Linked DNA regions of Oryzias latipes. The protein of the gene in region 2 interacts with the protein of the main gene of each other region in a pairwise test. Links are inferred from orthologs where the notes say so. Each region holds a gene or a part of one and is shown on either strand. Other genes may lie near its edges.

Region 1 (3,567 bases), on a different chromosome or scaffold from region 2:
AATTCATAAAAACTCATTTATGTACATTTTTTCAAATGACAAATCATTCAAAGGCAATGCATTGTGGTCTCATACCTTCTGCTAGAGAGGGGGCGTCTGTGGATCCAGAGGTGGGGGGCTGCACTGGGGGGTTGCTTTCTTGCACGGGGCTGCTGGGAATACCCTGGAAACACAAGAGCGCCTGTGAGCGACCACTTCCTGAGCTGGACAGCGATGTTTCATTCTGAGGCATCTAGAGTCACAAGTTCGACCTAATCAGACGGCTGGTGCCACACAGCGGATGCGGTTACACGCCTTCATTTCCAGATTTACACCCAGAGGCTTTAGCTGTGGTCTCCACCGCACTCGCAGGTGGACACGGCTGTCTGTGGGGGGAACGTGGGCACACCTGGGGGACCATTTTAACACCGTAGACTGTAAGGCGAAAATGCTCGTGCGCAGTTTTTTCTACGGACGACAGGTCGCAGTGAACGCTTCTACAACACGTGAGGATGAAGCAGGTGAGACACAGGCGTGTCGTCAGGACTTTCATGTCTTCAACCCTCCTCATTCCAGCAGAAAGGAGCCGGTGGTGCTGTTCACGTGACACGTGCGCGCTCCTCACATGCAGCCTGACTTAGAAATTAGACAGAGGACATCCTACAGGCACCTGCGTATCAAACATAGCATGTCGTCAGTGACGCCTTACTGATGACTAGGGGGCCATACAACAGCATCACGTGCAACTTACATCATCCCAACGACAAACTTACCACACGCACGCCAATGGTACCTTCCATTTCATGACATTTCCAAGACACCTGCGTTTCCTTAACCTTTAACACCTACGTTGTCACTAGCGACAAAAAACAACAAAAAACACACGCTCTTGGATTGTTTACGTTACTTTTTAGTAATTCTGACAGAGAAAACGTTGCAAAGCTTTGGCTTTTCTGCATAAACAGTTCAAGAGTGGCGGTAGGCTCCTCGCTACGACTTTCCACGTCCCAGACGACCTAAAACCCCGCAGCACCTGTACGGGTGCGTGTCGCTAAAGCCGCGTTCACACCAAATGCGATTCACGCATCAATGTCCAGACGCCATCTGGGGTCTGAACGTTGGTTCTGCAGCAGCATGTTTTGGGCATCGCAGCGAGTCGAATTAAACTTCAACCGCATGTCAACCAATCAGGCGTGGCGGGTTCAGTGATGCAATCGGGAATCACTGAAAAGATTAGGACCATTATTTTGTTTTGCTTTTTCCGTCGATACAATAATGGAAAGTTCCTCTAATTTGATTCTCATTTGTATTTTTTCCCTCCCAGGACTCATGCGGGACAGCGAGTCGTCAAACTGGGTCAGGGAGAGTCGGGAGCAGCTGTCAATCAGACGCAGCTCCTGCAGCAGACGGTGAAGCTCAGCGTACCGGGAGAGTCTCTGAATGATGTCATGAACCCAGACGTGGAGGCGGGATCACCAATGTTTCTGTAGAAGTCTTTTAAAACACGTAAACCTGATCTCTAAACATCATCCGTGTCTTCCATGCACTGTAAACGGGATATGGAGTCAATGCTTCCAAAATCTGAACCGGCAGCTCGTCTCAGACGTCCATTTATGAACGCGTTCTTTGGATAAACATTAAGCAGCAGATCTGACGCGTCAGATACGCGTTTGGTGTGAACGTCTCACACAACCTCACCTCCTGTTGGTCGGATGTCTGTTGTGTGAATGTCCAGCGACACCAGAGCTTTAGCGCCAGTGTTTACATTCTTTCCACTACCGTAACCCTACGACTGTTCACGCAACGGATTCTGAAGTGGAGAAAATGAGCTTCACACTGATGGGCAACACTTTACAGGACTCAAGTGTTTACACAACCAACAGCCGATTCTGCCGTGGCGGAAACAGCTTTGCGCCGTCATGCAACACTTTTAAAGTTAGAAATGTGTGGTCTATCGGTGCAAAGCCAACATGAAAAGCCGCTTTTGTCCGTGTCAGAATCAGCCGATTCGTGTTGATTCCCTACTAAAAAACAGGTTAATGAAAAGAAGAATTGCGTACGCAGTCGAAGGGTTACGGTAGTGAGAGCATCACACCCTGGCTGGGAGCTCAGAGGCAGCGTCCCATCCGGCAGGTGGGCGGGGCCTCAGCATACGTACAGTGAGGAGGTACTCCACGGCTCTGTGCGGGTTGTTGAAGCTGGCCCGCAGCGCCGCCACCACTCGCTCCCTCTCGTATCCCATAGACATGATCTCCGTCAGCATGGCCTCGTACTCCGCTCCAGTCACTGAAACACAAACCGGGAATCAAACCTCTGTGCAAAGGGGGTCAAGCCTGAGCTACAATCAGTCAAGTTTTACGGGTCAAATAAAGAGTTTCGGGATTTGAATAGTCCAAACATTTCATGATTATTGTGTCAGGCTCCCCTGTTTTAAATGGGAACGGTCTCAACTTGACTTCAAGACCAAAAGGCTGAACGCAGAAGACAGAGGCTCTCTGGCACTTGACTGACAAATGACGTGACTTCCTGTCGCCTCTGCGTGCAGCAGATGTGCTCATAACTGCATCACATGGGACTCCCCATCCCTCTGTGTGACCCCGCAACAAGAGCCAGCTCGCTTTTGTCGCCCTCTAATTACAGGAAGGGTTTGTGTTGTGTTGATGAGAGCAGCAACTGCAGGCGGAGCATAGAGTCATCAGGTGAGGGTTCAGCGTCACATACCCAACGCTGAAGAGGCGTCCAGGCCCTGATTCCCGCCGCTGGAGCTACAAAAGACAAGGAAAATCCTGATTGATTTGAAATCCTATCACGTTATTTTAGCTTTATATACAGTAAAACAAATCCGCCTTAATGTGAAAGACTTCAGACCCTCGAAGAGCTTTATCAATCCAACATTTAAACAGCACAAACGCCTAAATTATTCAACAAAATCGACAAAAAACAACATCAATCCATCCCCTAAACCGGCAGAATCAGTTTTAGAGTCACATGGTTGCTGGAGCCTATCCCAACTACTATTGGGTGAAGGTGGGCTACACCCTGAACAGGTCGCCAGTTCACATTCACGCCTAGAGACAATTGAGATTCACCAATTAACCATGAAGCGTGTTTTTGGAATGTTTTTTGGAGTTCCACACATGCAGACAGAACATGCAAACTCCACGCAGACAAAACCCGGCTGGGATTGGAACCAGAACCTTCTCGCTACGAGGGAGGAGCGCTGGCCACTACACCACTGTGCAACCCCTCCACAAAAACACATTTTAAATAAATTTTAAAAAAAGAAGAAAGCAGAAAAGCCGAAAAAAATCAACCACCTGATTTCAGAAACATGACCATCAGTGTTTTCTACTATAAACAGATCTATTTTCATTCTACAATACTGGCCTTAGATTCTGTGAAGGTTTGAACTTTGAGACTTTAAACAAGAGACAAAAGTGTGAAAATGTTCATGTTTGTCTGAGAAACGTAGACAGGTGTGTAGTGAGAAGCTTTACAGCCTTAAATACCAGAATTATTGTACATATAAAGCTTCATTACTTTGCAGATTTCCTATCAAGGGTTATTTTTAGAATGTAATTCCCAAGA
Region 2 (3,567 bases):
GCTGTTTAGGATCAAACCTGCTGGGTGGCGGTGTTGTCAAAGTGTGGCCCCGCCCTCACCTTGTGTCGCTCATTAAACTGTGGACGGCTTTAATGGCCCTTACTCTGCAGCTGAGCTCTTTATGCTTCCTGCAGCAGTGAAAGTCCTCTTGTCACAAGCACAGCCTCATTTGTGTCACTCATCTGTTAGAAAAAACCCGCTGTACACTGATCTGCAGCAGCCTTCTGGGCTGACCTGAGCTGACCTCCGGTCAGGTCTGCAGAATGAAGATGATGGCGAAACAACAGCCATGCTCTCTGGTGTCTTAATGTCGGTGTGCGGCATTTAACAGTAGAGTTGGAGACTGACAACATTCAAACATCCTCATGTTTAGGATAAATGACTGGAAGCAGACGCCCAAAGCCTTGTCAGGAATTGGTGTCTTTCCTGTATTTTGTGTGTTTTTGCACTGACTGTCGCTATAAAGGAATCACTGCGCTACACCTGCAGAAGCCTGCCAGTCACAGCAAATGACCATAAAGCTTTCTCACTGCCCTGATTCCAACTTTGATTTCTGTTTTTTTTGCTCTGAGCAGGAGCACAGATACCTGCTCTTCATGCAGGAGTTGAGGAACCTCTTCTCCCTCATGGTGGGCTCCAAGAGGAAATATGTAGACCCTTCACGGGCGGTGGAAATCCTCAAAGATGCCTTCAAATCCAGTGAGTCACAACAGGTAAGCTTCTCCCGATGTCCTTTGCTGCACGGGATCACAGACTTCCTGAAAGTGTCTTTAGGGGGGGGGGGCAATGGTTCCACGTAACCAGGGGGTGACACCTGCAGGCCTGCATGTTTATGGATATGGCCCTGTTCACGGCTGATCACGTGTGGCCAACCTTTTACAGCAGGACTGCGGCCCTCCAGGCCAACCTCTGCACAGCTGGAATACAGGAGCGTTCCTGCTGCTTCTCCTGGTGTGGCTCCTTCACTGTTGAGCCCCAGTTCCCCCAGCGGTCCTCCCCGTATCACACTGACAGTCCCACTTTGTGAAGGGACTCAATGATCCATAGAAGGCTTCTGTGTGAAGTGAAGCGTGACAGACAGATGTGTGATGATGTTTGTTCCACAGCAGGATGTCAGTGAGTTCACCCACAAACTGCTGGACTGGCTGGAGGACGCCTTCCAGATGAAGGCAGAAGACAGGTAAGCTGCTTCTAGTGGACCTGATCCAGATGACCTGAAGGGTGTTTGCAACAGTTTCTCATCCCTTGTTCTCAGGGAGGGGGAGAGACCGAAGAACCCCATGGTGGAGCTTTTCTACGGCCGCTTCCTCGCTGTGGGGGTTCTGGAAGGTGAGCGGGAGCCCATGATTTCTGCCATTACAGAGTAGCATGATGGAGGAGTAAGAAGGCTGAAGCTCAGCCTGATGCCAGGATGCAGAGAGTGGGGGAGTCTCCCCCCTCAGTCATGGAAGGTGACCTCATCCTAATGACTGTAAAACACCAGAGCTTACGCTGACTGGAGGAGACCTTGGCGGCTGATTAAAATTCTGTTTATTATGCATGACGACGCTGGCTCAGAGCCTCCTGAAGGTGGTCCTGAACTCCTCATCTGTGTCTGCTGGCCCCCACCGCTTTAGGGCGGGGCTCAGCAGCTCAGTGGAAGAGGCGGAGAGGGCTCAGGTTTAAATCCATAGTCAAAGGATCCAATGCCTCTGTGCTCTTCAGCATTTAGATTTTGGATTGGGGGGTTAAATGGCTGCAGCATGTGGAGAAGGAGTTTCTCCCACCCTGGTGTGTGACCACCGATGGGGCTTTAAGGTAACTGTAAGTTAGGTTTCCATGAGGCAGAAGGTAACGATGGAGATCACACCTTCCTGGTGTGGATGAAGTCTGTTTATGCATTGAAGGAAACCCAAAAGTCTACGTTCTTTGAAGTGCTGTAAGCCCCTTTGACACACATGTTCAACACTGACTGTCACTGAGGGGGGGGTCCAAACCTGTGATCTCTGTGACCACCCCATCAAGTAACTGGCTTCAAGCTAAATGAGCAGGAGTCAAACAGAAAAGGTGCAGAAAAAGCTGCTGAAATGAGCTGTAAGATGCTGGGGGGGTCGGATGCTGGGTCACACACAGACTTTGCCTGATCTCACCTTTGGTTTGTCCGCTGTTCCCTTTGACTACAGGTAAAAAGTTTGAGAACACAGAGATGTTTGGGCAGTACCCCCTGCAGGTGAACGGCTTCAAGGACCTCCACGAATGTCTGGAGGCGGCGATGATCGAGGGGGAGATCGAGTCCCTGCACTCTGCAGAAAACTCTGCCAAATCGGGTCAAGAGGTCAGTGATGCAGACTGAGCACGGCAGCCGGATCCTCTGCTGAGGAACCGAAAAAGGAAGAGGGTGCCCCCCGTGACCAGGGCGTGATCACATGTCAGGCTGGGGTCACTCATTAACCATGACAAACCACCATTCACTTGGCTTTCAGACGTCCACTCAACCTATTTTATAGGGTTGGAATAAAACAGTTTTATGGAGCTGAATATAGAAACTGAATAAAGATGAATCTTTCATTAATTTATCATTTCTTTTAATACAATGATAAAAAATAGGCTAATAAAAGAAAAAACAAGAACAATATATGTATTTCCATTCATAAAATCTATGAATTGATACTAATATGTTCAGTACGGACTATGTAAAAACTCATCTTTTATGGCATTTGTTCACAAGCAGCACAAACCCACTTCAGAGGAAAAAATCAGTCCAACGCACCTGACAGCAAAAATAACCCAACATCCATGAAACAAAAATTAAACATGTTCATAAATCAGATTTTAATCAAAGTACAGTACATGCAGACGGAGCAAAGCGGTTGTCAGCATCTGAAGGACAAAACCTGTTTCACAGCCTGGAAGTATTGACAGAGAAGTTGTCTTCTCTGAGCTTCGTCTTGGTCCTACAGATGAAGCTTGGATGTGTGCTGCTCCTCCTCCTTCTCCTCCTCCTCCTCCTCCTCCTCCGTGCCTCATTCAAATGCCTTAACACTTGTGCACGTCACCCAGGCTCCCGTCTGCATTGAAATGCTTCAAAAACCAAAGAGTGACGTCCAACGTTTGAAACGGTCTCAACTCAATGTTTTTCAGCACTGGTTCACGGAGCTCCCCCCCGTGTTGACCTTTGAACTGTCGAGGTTCGAGTTCAACCAGGCTTTGGGACGACCTGAGAAGATCCACAACAAGCTGGAGTTCCCCTCCATGCTCTACATGGACAGGTGATGCCAACACGGATGATGGTGATCATGTGTCTTTGAAGAGCCCCCCCCCCCCCCCCCCCCCCCCCCTAATCCTCTGCTGGGGCTGTGCACAGATACATGGATAGAAACAGGGAGATCACCAGGATCAAGAGGGAGGAGATCCGGCGACTGAAAGAGCACCTGACTCTGCTCCAACAGCGACTGGAGAGGTACACTGCCGTCCTTTATGTCCGTCTGTGGCTTTGTGCTGTGAGGAGTGAGGATGCAGACGCTGCAGCGTCTGCACACGGCACCGTCGAAACAGAAAAAACACCCGTCACACGACATGCTCATGAGC
Region 3 (3,567 bases), on a different chromosome or scaffold from region 2:
ACCACATTTCCTGTTCATTTTACAGCTCACGCAGGCTTGTGCAATCCCATGCAGACTGGGTTGCCTTTGGCTTATTCAGCATATGCTAATAAATTTAACACTTTATTAAATAGTTTCTATGCATCTTTTTACGTGTCATCGCTTTCCATTTAACAGTTATTCTTTCATGTTTGTCTGTTGTTTCTTTAATGGATCCGACATAAAGCTGCACTGAAAAAACACAGAAGGTGAGGTAAGCAGTAACTTGGCCTCAATTATATTATAGAGGGTGTTTGTGGGCTCACGCTGGTCTGGAGTCAGTATTCTGCTTCGCTCTGGCTGACAAAAATGCTGGATAAAATGTCATTAAGAAATGTCTCAAAGTTGGACTTTCAATCAAAAAAATAAAAAATCAACGTTGAACTGACACATCTGTATTCAGACTGAGAGACTTCTGAAATTTCTGATAGAGGGTAAGGAGGACTTTTATGCAAAAGTCACAGGCTGTTACCCAGACGGAGAGACATATGGACTTCATTGTGTTGCACACAGCCTGAAAACATATAAACACAGAAAAACGGCTTAAATTAAAACCAGTTTTAGTGGTTTTCAACCTAGAGGTCTCTTCTGAAGACAGAAAACTGTGAAATCTGCTAGAAGCTATTGGCTGCAGAGATAACCCCCCAGCCATGCCAGCGATGTTCACACCTGCTCAGGTAGGATGCTGCGTTGTGGTAACGTCATCATTTAAAGGACCGGAACCAGAAATTCACACCTCACAGAGACCGCCTCTGAGTCTTCCTCATCCGTTCAGAACAAAGGATGAGAGAAACAAACAAACGTCCAAACTGAACTTATCGCTCTTCAAAATCAAACTGCCCCCCCCCCACCATCATTGGGTTGCAAGGACGGCAGATGAAGATGCAGTTCAGGATCTGGAATCTGGAATCTGAGCGCGCTCAGTCGCTCTTTCTGACTGGCTGTTTTTTTAAACCTTTGCGTCAGAATACAGTAGAAATGTTCTATTTCTGTTATCTCCGGGTTCCTGTTCTTTTACTTTCGGTCTGGGCTATTGGGCAATTAAAAACCTCCAACAAAAGCTGTGTTTTGAGATGTGGGCTGGGTCAGCGGATCTCAGCAAAGTTCAGCTTCTTTCTCGTGAAGGAACTGATTCCCAGAACAGACAGATTCAGGAAGGCTTCTGACAGAGCGGTTCTGAGTTCATGTTTTGACATAAACGTCTTCAAAGAGGGGACCTCTGCTGCAGCCAACCGCCGATCAGGAGACTTTAAAGTTCACATACGTTCACTGTAGTCTCTGCCTTTCACATTTGATGATTCATCGATGGTTGGGGTTGGATCGTGCCCTCACAGGTTGGTGAAACGCTCGAGCAGTGAGGAGTCAAATGAGCCAAACGTGTTTGCAGGACTCCATACTGGTCTGTCTTCAGCAGATTAGTCTAGGTGTGATGAAGCGTGGAATCAGAGTGGAAGGTGGACAATACGCTTTGGCCAGCCATGGAGACATCTGTGACTACTCCAGTCTCCTTCCAGGAGTTTACATGTCAGAGACCACAAAGGCGTGCAAAATAGTGATCCGTTATAACCTGACAGTGTGTCCCAGAGGACAGAGGGAGGAGCCACCAGTGCAGCCTGAGACTCAGACAAATGGGGATCAGATCAGGAACAACAGAAACAGTATGGGAGCCAAGCGGGCTTAGAGATCCACCAGCCCGCCTGAACACCTGGATCCTCAGGCCATCATAGTTTATTGATTACTTGTTTACAATCTCTCACCACCTTTCTGAAAAGATGCTTCAGAAACAGAAAAACAACAGATTTCTGAACAAAGGATCCCTGCCAGGCAAACTCACCCTTAGGTTCCAGGTCTGCTTCACGTACTCTCGGATCAGCTTCTCCTTCAGGTCCTCAAAGGGTCCAACTTTGGGCTGCATGTTCTTGGGTCGGTTGCAGGGCTTCTTCAGGAGACACACCAGGCCGTCTGTCTCCTGGGAGTGGTGGTCAATCACGTCCACGGGGCTCCTGTAGCTCTTGCCTCCAGCGATGGCGTACGTCTCGTTGGGCTTTTTCTCGATGGTGTAGTGGTAGCAGTGCTTAGCATTGGCGACAGAAAGGGCAAAGCCTCCCAGGTAATTCCGGCTTTGCCGTAACAGGTACAGCCCGTTGCTCATGCCTGCCTGCCGAAGGTAGTCCTCCGCCTCCTCCCTGGCGATGTTGCCGTAGAAGAACGGCAGTGCGTTGACAGCGTCAGCCATCTTGGCCGTTGGACACTTGTCTCCTCACAAAACTAGGCCACCAGGATGAAGTGTCCCTGAGAAAACAAGAAGGTCACCTTGAGTTACAACTGCAAAATCTGAAAGGAGAAGCTAAAAAACAGATAAAAGTTGTTCTTTACTCCAGAAACAGGGACACTCAAGCAGGTGATGCTGGTATCGCCTGCTTTTAGAAGCAAAACAATTGTCTTTACTTTTGTCAGGTTGATGTCAGTAAGCTGCTGTAGTTTTTATAAACAGCAGTTTATATGAATCGTTCCAACAAAGACACTTGAAGAAAGTGTGTTTAGTTCTTTTTGTTAATTCTGTCCCGCAGCAGACCTGGACCACAAAGACCAGATTGCTTTTATTAATTCTTCTTTCTTACTGCAGCTTTCATACTTACTCAAAAACTCATCAACATTTTCATAAATCTAGAAAACATAGACAATGAATTTTAGGCATTGTAACCCCCCCCAATGAATAAATCACAGCAGAAGGAAACAACAAAAGATGAATTAGCCAAAATCTTTTATAGGTCTCCAAAAAATATTTCTAAATCCTATATTGAAAACCAAAACAAAGGGAGTTTTGTAATTATCATGAGATGGCCGTGGGACCTACGGCCGTTGACTGTATATGAGAACTGGACTAAGTGACCCCTCCACCCCGTGTTCCAAACAGGAAGTACCCGCTGGTTCCAAAAAAGCTGAAATCTAATAGACTTCAATAGAAAAAGAAACAGCTGTAATCAGTCATTCTATTGGTCAGAATAACCATTCTCACTCTGACACATCTTTTTAACATATTCTGGATAATCCTAATTTTTTTAATGATATTTTTGCTGCAGTAAAAGTCATTCAAGTAACAAACTGACCAATCAGATGCCTCATTAAAAGAAGGTGGCCTCACATTGAATGTTCAAAGCGTTTGATTTCCGGATCCTCCTGATCCTGCTTTCAGTGGAAAGGGTGAGGCCTTCTAACATGCTCACTACTGACTGGAGAGAGTGGTTGCCATGGAAATATAGACTAAGATCGACATGGAGCACTTGGAAATGGAGCTTACTGACGACGTCTGGTTCATGTCACAGACAACATGGCGGCAGACATATCGTGAAAAAATGGCGACTGAATTGACTCGAATTGAATTGATTTGGTTGGAACCGGGGGTTAGGCATTTTTCAATGGGTGAAGTCTCACTCGCTCAGTCCAGTCCTCCATATACAGTCAATGGTTCTAAGGCTTGGTGACCATTGTGGTGATATTTCAGATTTTCCACAATATGGGAAAAATCGATCTTCACACACACACCAC
Region 4 (4,041 bases), on a different chromosome or scaffold from region 2:
CAAAAGTTTGAATCTCCAAATTGTATTCCTCCCCTTCAATTCCACCCGCCAAAATAAAAGCATAGAGGAACTTCTAAACAAGTGTGATGACATAAGACCACCTCTGCTTTTAGTGAAATTATTCCAATCTTTGATATTTTAGGGGGTGAATTAAAGAAAGTTGCTTTTGTGGAGGTTTTAGGAGCTCAGCATCAGACAGGTGTGCAGCCCCGCACACCAGCAGAGGCGGTTGACACTCAGACACGGTGTGAAAAAAAAGAGGAGAAAGTCACCAAAGGGATTCGCTTACGAATAAAGGAACAAAACGGAGGGATATAAAGGTTCCAAGCAAGCTTGCAATTCACCAGCGGTTTGTAATTCACCGACCTTTGTCACCATGACGACCACAAAGTTCTTCTCATCGATTTTGTATTCTTTGAGGGCCGTGTCGTCGCTGAGGATTTTTCCTGGAAAGAAGCAGAAAAGGATTTCTGAGGGATGGACGACATCCGTCTGGGTTTTACTCGCTCTGAAAACTAGAAAACGAGGATCTGTGCCGGTCACACAAATGATGGTCATTTACACAAAATCTGTTTTTAAAAGTTAATTTCTAAGCATTTATCTTTATTCTCAACCAAAATCTTTTGTTGACTCCTATTTTTCATGATATTCACTTCAACTGCAGCGCTCTACCCATTAAAGCAGAAAAGCATAAACACATCTGTCAATCATTGACTTAAAAAAACCCATAATAATCCGGCATAAAGCAGTAAATTGAAGCCCAGTCCCGTTCTGTTGATGATTTGGATCAAATGAGGCTGAAAAACAAGCAACTACTGAGCCACAAATGCATCAATCGAATCAAGAAAGTTCTTTTAAAAGCATAAGAAGCTACAGAAGTGGTTCGCTAACCTCCATCTGTCTTCTCACCAATGAATCATGGGAAAACTGTATTTTTTGGAAAGGATTGGTGTGGAAGCTTTACGTTTTGGTGCTTTTTTTGTGCTCATGTGAGCTCTAAAGGTGACACAATGATTTCTGTACTCAACTTGGAGTCCAAATGTGCACAGACGCGCAAGCCTGTTTCCCATTGTCGATCCCCATCAGTTAGGGGGGGAGGGGGCTGTGTGTAGGTCTGGGGAGGGGGTTCTATTTTAATTTTCGTGCTTGTTTTTATATTATTTATTTGGTTTTTCTTTAATGTAAAGCACTTGTAGGAAAAGCACTTTCTAAATAATGTTCGATTTGATTCAATGCTTCCTGGGTGAAGCTGATTTGAACATAGAATTTGCCGGACCCGGGTTAGCCTAACATAGGATCCAGTTGGATCCCTTCACCCTGATGTAAAACATAAAGTGCAGGTATCTAGCGATTTTATTTTATTCTGAAGTCAAAACTAAACTATGTTTGTAACGACAGTCAGAATTTTAACACTTTTTTGCCCACATTGACAAAAAAACTATTCTTCTAGAATACAAACAGAAGCAGCAGACATCGTCATCGCCTTAAATCAATCATTTTACATAACGTCAGCAATCAATTTGTAGTCTTTTTAAAGTTTCTTTTCAGCGTCTTTGAGGCTGTAACATGCATGTCAAAATAAAAGCACAGTTCGCTTTAAGACACATTTAAAATATTGAGGAACAGAACCTAAAATAACTATTTTATGGGTTTTGGTGAAACTTTATGTACCAAAAAGTACTTGTGTGTCAACAAAAGTGTGTTTGCAGCGTATCATCATTCTTGTGGTCACTATTAAACAACACAGCAAAGAAATACATAATTTAAGACAAATGACATCAAATTAAATGCATTTTTAAATATTTTAGGCTGAAAATTCTAGATTTCTGGACTTTATAGACCCGACAGTTTAAGATCTGAAGCAATTTTGTGTCAAATATGCAGAGAAATATACAAAAAAAACTTTTAGGCAAATCAAAGAGTACAGATCTTTCCGGATCTTAACCTGCCAGGACTATGGATGCAAACTGATCAGAACCGGTCTAAACATCACGTGAGTACTCAGAGGAAGAAAGAGGCAGGGAGGGACCCATCATACCGGCGTAGATCAGCTTCTGCCCGGCCACTGAAAAGCTCTCCTTCCCCTTTTCCTGCTCAATCCTCTCCTTTAACGTCTTCACCTGCAGAAGAAACAACAACACTGACAACAATGACTAGCAGTAAACAACAATACACACAGTGAGATGACTCAGCACTTCTGGAGCCATAAGGTCCAAGTTTCTGTTGTTAAGAAGGAAACCTCCTCTAAAATCTAGCTACAGACATCAACCATTGAATCTTAGCTGTTAGCAACAGATTTAGAGGAATAACGCGCATGTCCTTAAAGTTTATCGAAAGTAAAAGTTCGGAGTAAAAGATCTCTGTCATAAATGTTTAGGAACAGTGCGAAGGCTGGCGTGTAAATAGAAACAACTTTACTATCGTCATTACATTTAAGCACAGACAACAACATTTTGCCTGAGTTTTTGTATGTTATTTTAAATCAAAAGAGTATTATTTTGCTAGCGTAATGACTCTAGTCAATATGTTTTTAACAAAAACAAACAAAAAAACATTTACTGCTGTTTTAGTTGCTCCACATAAACAACTCCCGCTCGCGCATATTTCTCACCGTTTCTTCCTCATCGATGTCGATTTTGAAGGTCTGCTGTTGCAAAGTCTTTAAAGTTATCAGCATGTTGTAGGTCGGTTTACTTCTGGCTCCAATTTTAAAAAAATCTGTAAATCTAACTTGAAAGAAATCGCTTTTTTCCGTTGGCTCATTACAAACTGTCAGCCGCCATGATTTTTCGGTTCTCTTCTTCTGTGGCGGTAAAACCGGGTAACCCCCCCCCCTCATGAAAAAACACACTAGCGCCCCTGGTGGCTACACGTTGAACTTAATCAAATAATCTGCTGGACAATAAATCCAAATCAGTTGGTCCCACCACGGTTAAATTGATTTGATTGTGGAGGATATTCTATATATATTTTTCTTCATTATATTCTATATGTTTTTTTCAATATATATACACATTTTCACATAAAAATTAATCAAAACAGAATGTTATTTTTTCCTAACACTCTGAATAAGTAAGTAATACTGAAAAGTAATACCACAGATTTCATGTCATTTAAACATTAAACACACAGCTGTTTAAACAAAATTAAATTAAATAGGATTTAAAAAGTAAAATAGCATAACAATAACAATAAAAAAAATATATACAGCACAAATATTGGAGCAAATAATTAGCACTTTGACACTAAATTATTTTTTAAATTCACGTATTAAATGGTGTAGGCTGCACAATTGTATAGTGGTTAGCACTCTTGCCCCACTGGGAGAGGTTCAAATCCCTGCTGGAACCTTGCTGTGTGGATTTTGTATGTTCTCCCTGTGCATACACAGGTTTCCTCTTGGAAACCTACCGTGCCTCAATCCAAATGGTATTTGCAAATATCGAAATAATCAATTTAGTTATTTTTAAAATGATTCTATAATTTGAATAACAACTTGGCTCAAACCGATTGATCTGGTAGGTCGTGGGAATAAAAATTGATTCATGGCTTAAGCCGATTAATCTATACGCCCCTAAACGCAACCCACAGTGTTGTAAACAAATGTTTAGGAAACATTTGGTGGATCATAAAGTTATGGTGCTTATCATCACACTGTGAGATTTAACCCTTGTGCTATCTTAGATGACCCCACCCTTACATTGACGTGTTCTCCCTACCATGACAAAGGTGGATAAAGGTGGAAAGATTTCATGTAATCCATGGACACCAGTGAAGATCACAAATCACTGAAGAAAAAAGGTTCAGAGCACTGTCTAGTGGGTCTAGATGACCCAACTCCCAATAGTAAAGTGCCTAGGATAGCACAAGGGTTACAGGTGTTGTCTACGTTATTCGTGAGCCTCCATGGGAGGCTAAGACACAGGAGTGTGATGGAGGCCTGGATCCCCCCACCCACCCACTACCACCACCCACAGGATCTGCAGCTCTTGTCGAGGAGCGTGACGCCAGGAGAAACCTTGAGAAGTCTCGTCTACGGCC

What was found.
Region 1: the proteins of usp25 (region 2) and rad23a interact in binary tests that used the Homo sapiens proteins (3 or more experiments, as listed by UniProt). The link is inferred for Oryzias latipes from reciprocal best matches to the Homo sapiens genes USP25 and RAD23A.
Region 3: the proteins of usp25 (region 2) and syk interact in binary tests that used the Homo sapiens proteins (3 or more experiments, as listed by UniProt). The link is inferred for Oryzias latipes from reciprocal best matches to the Homo sapiens genes USP25 and SYK.
Region 4: the proteins of usp25 (region 2) and rad23b interact in binary tests that used the Homo sapiens proteins (3 or more experiments, as listed by UniProt). The link is inferred for Oryzias latipes from reciprocal best matches to the Homo sapiens genes USP25 and RAD23B.

Annotation. Positions count from the first base shown.
Region 1 is NC_019866.2:22,938,770-22,942,336, forward strand, and holds part of rad23a (UV excision repair protein RAD23 homolog A), read right to left. Parts: intron 2,745-3,567; coding exon 2,701-2,744; intron 2,266-2,700; coding exon 2,138-2,265; intron 164-2,137; coding exon 76-163; intron 1-75. UniProt on the Homo sapiens protein: Multiubiquitin chain receptor involved in modulation of proteasomal degradation. Binds to 'Lys-48'-linked polyubiquitin chains in a length-dependent manner and with a lower affinity to 'Lys-63'-linked polyubiquitin chains.
Region 2 is NC_019872.2:2,562,690-2,566,256, reverse strand, and holds part of usp25 (ubiquitin carboxyl-terminal hydrolase 25), read left to right. Parts: intron 1-575; coding exon 576-713; intron 714-1,106; coding exon 1,107-1,180; intron 1,181-1,255; coding exon 1,256-1,329; intron 1,330-2,162; coding exon 2,163-2,314; intron 2,315-3,120; coding exon 3,121-3,248; intron 3,249-3,343; coding exon 3,344-3,439; intron 3,440-3,567. UniProt on the Homo sapiens protein: Deubiquitinating enzyme that hydrolyzes ubiquitin moieties conjugated to substrates and thus, functions in various biological processes including inflammation and immune response.
Region 3 is NC_019870.2:27,546,056-27,549,622, forward strand, and holds part of syk (tyrosine-protein kinase SYK), read right to left. Parts: intron 2,311-3,567; 5' UTR 2,255-2,310; coding exon 1,853-2,254; intron 1-1,852. UniProt on the Homo sapiens protein: Non-receptor tyrosine kinase which mediates signal transduction downstream of a variety of transmembrane receptors including classical immunoreceptors like the B-cell receptor (BCR).
Region 4 is NC_019870.2:9,289,441-9,293,481, reverse strand, and holds the start of rad23b (UV excision repair protein RAD23 homolog B), read right to left. Parts: upstream 2,823-4,041; 5' UTR 2,678-2,822; coding exon 2,612-2,677; intron 2,121-2,611; coding exon 2,039-2,120; intron 447-2,038; coding exon 367-446; intron 1-366. UniProt on the Homo sapiens protein: Multiubiquitin chain receptor involved in modulation of proteasomal degradation. Binds to polyubiquitin chains.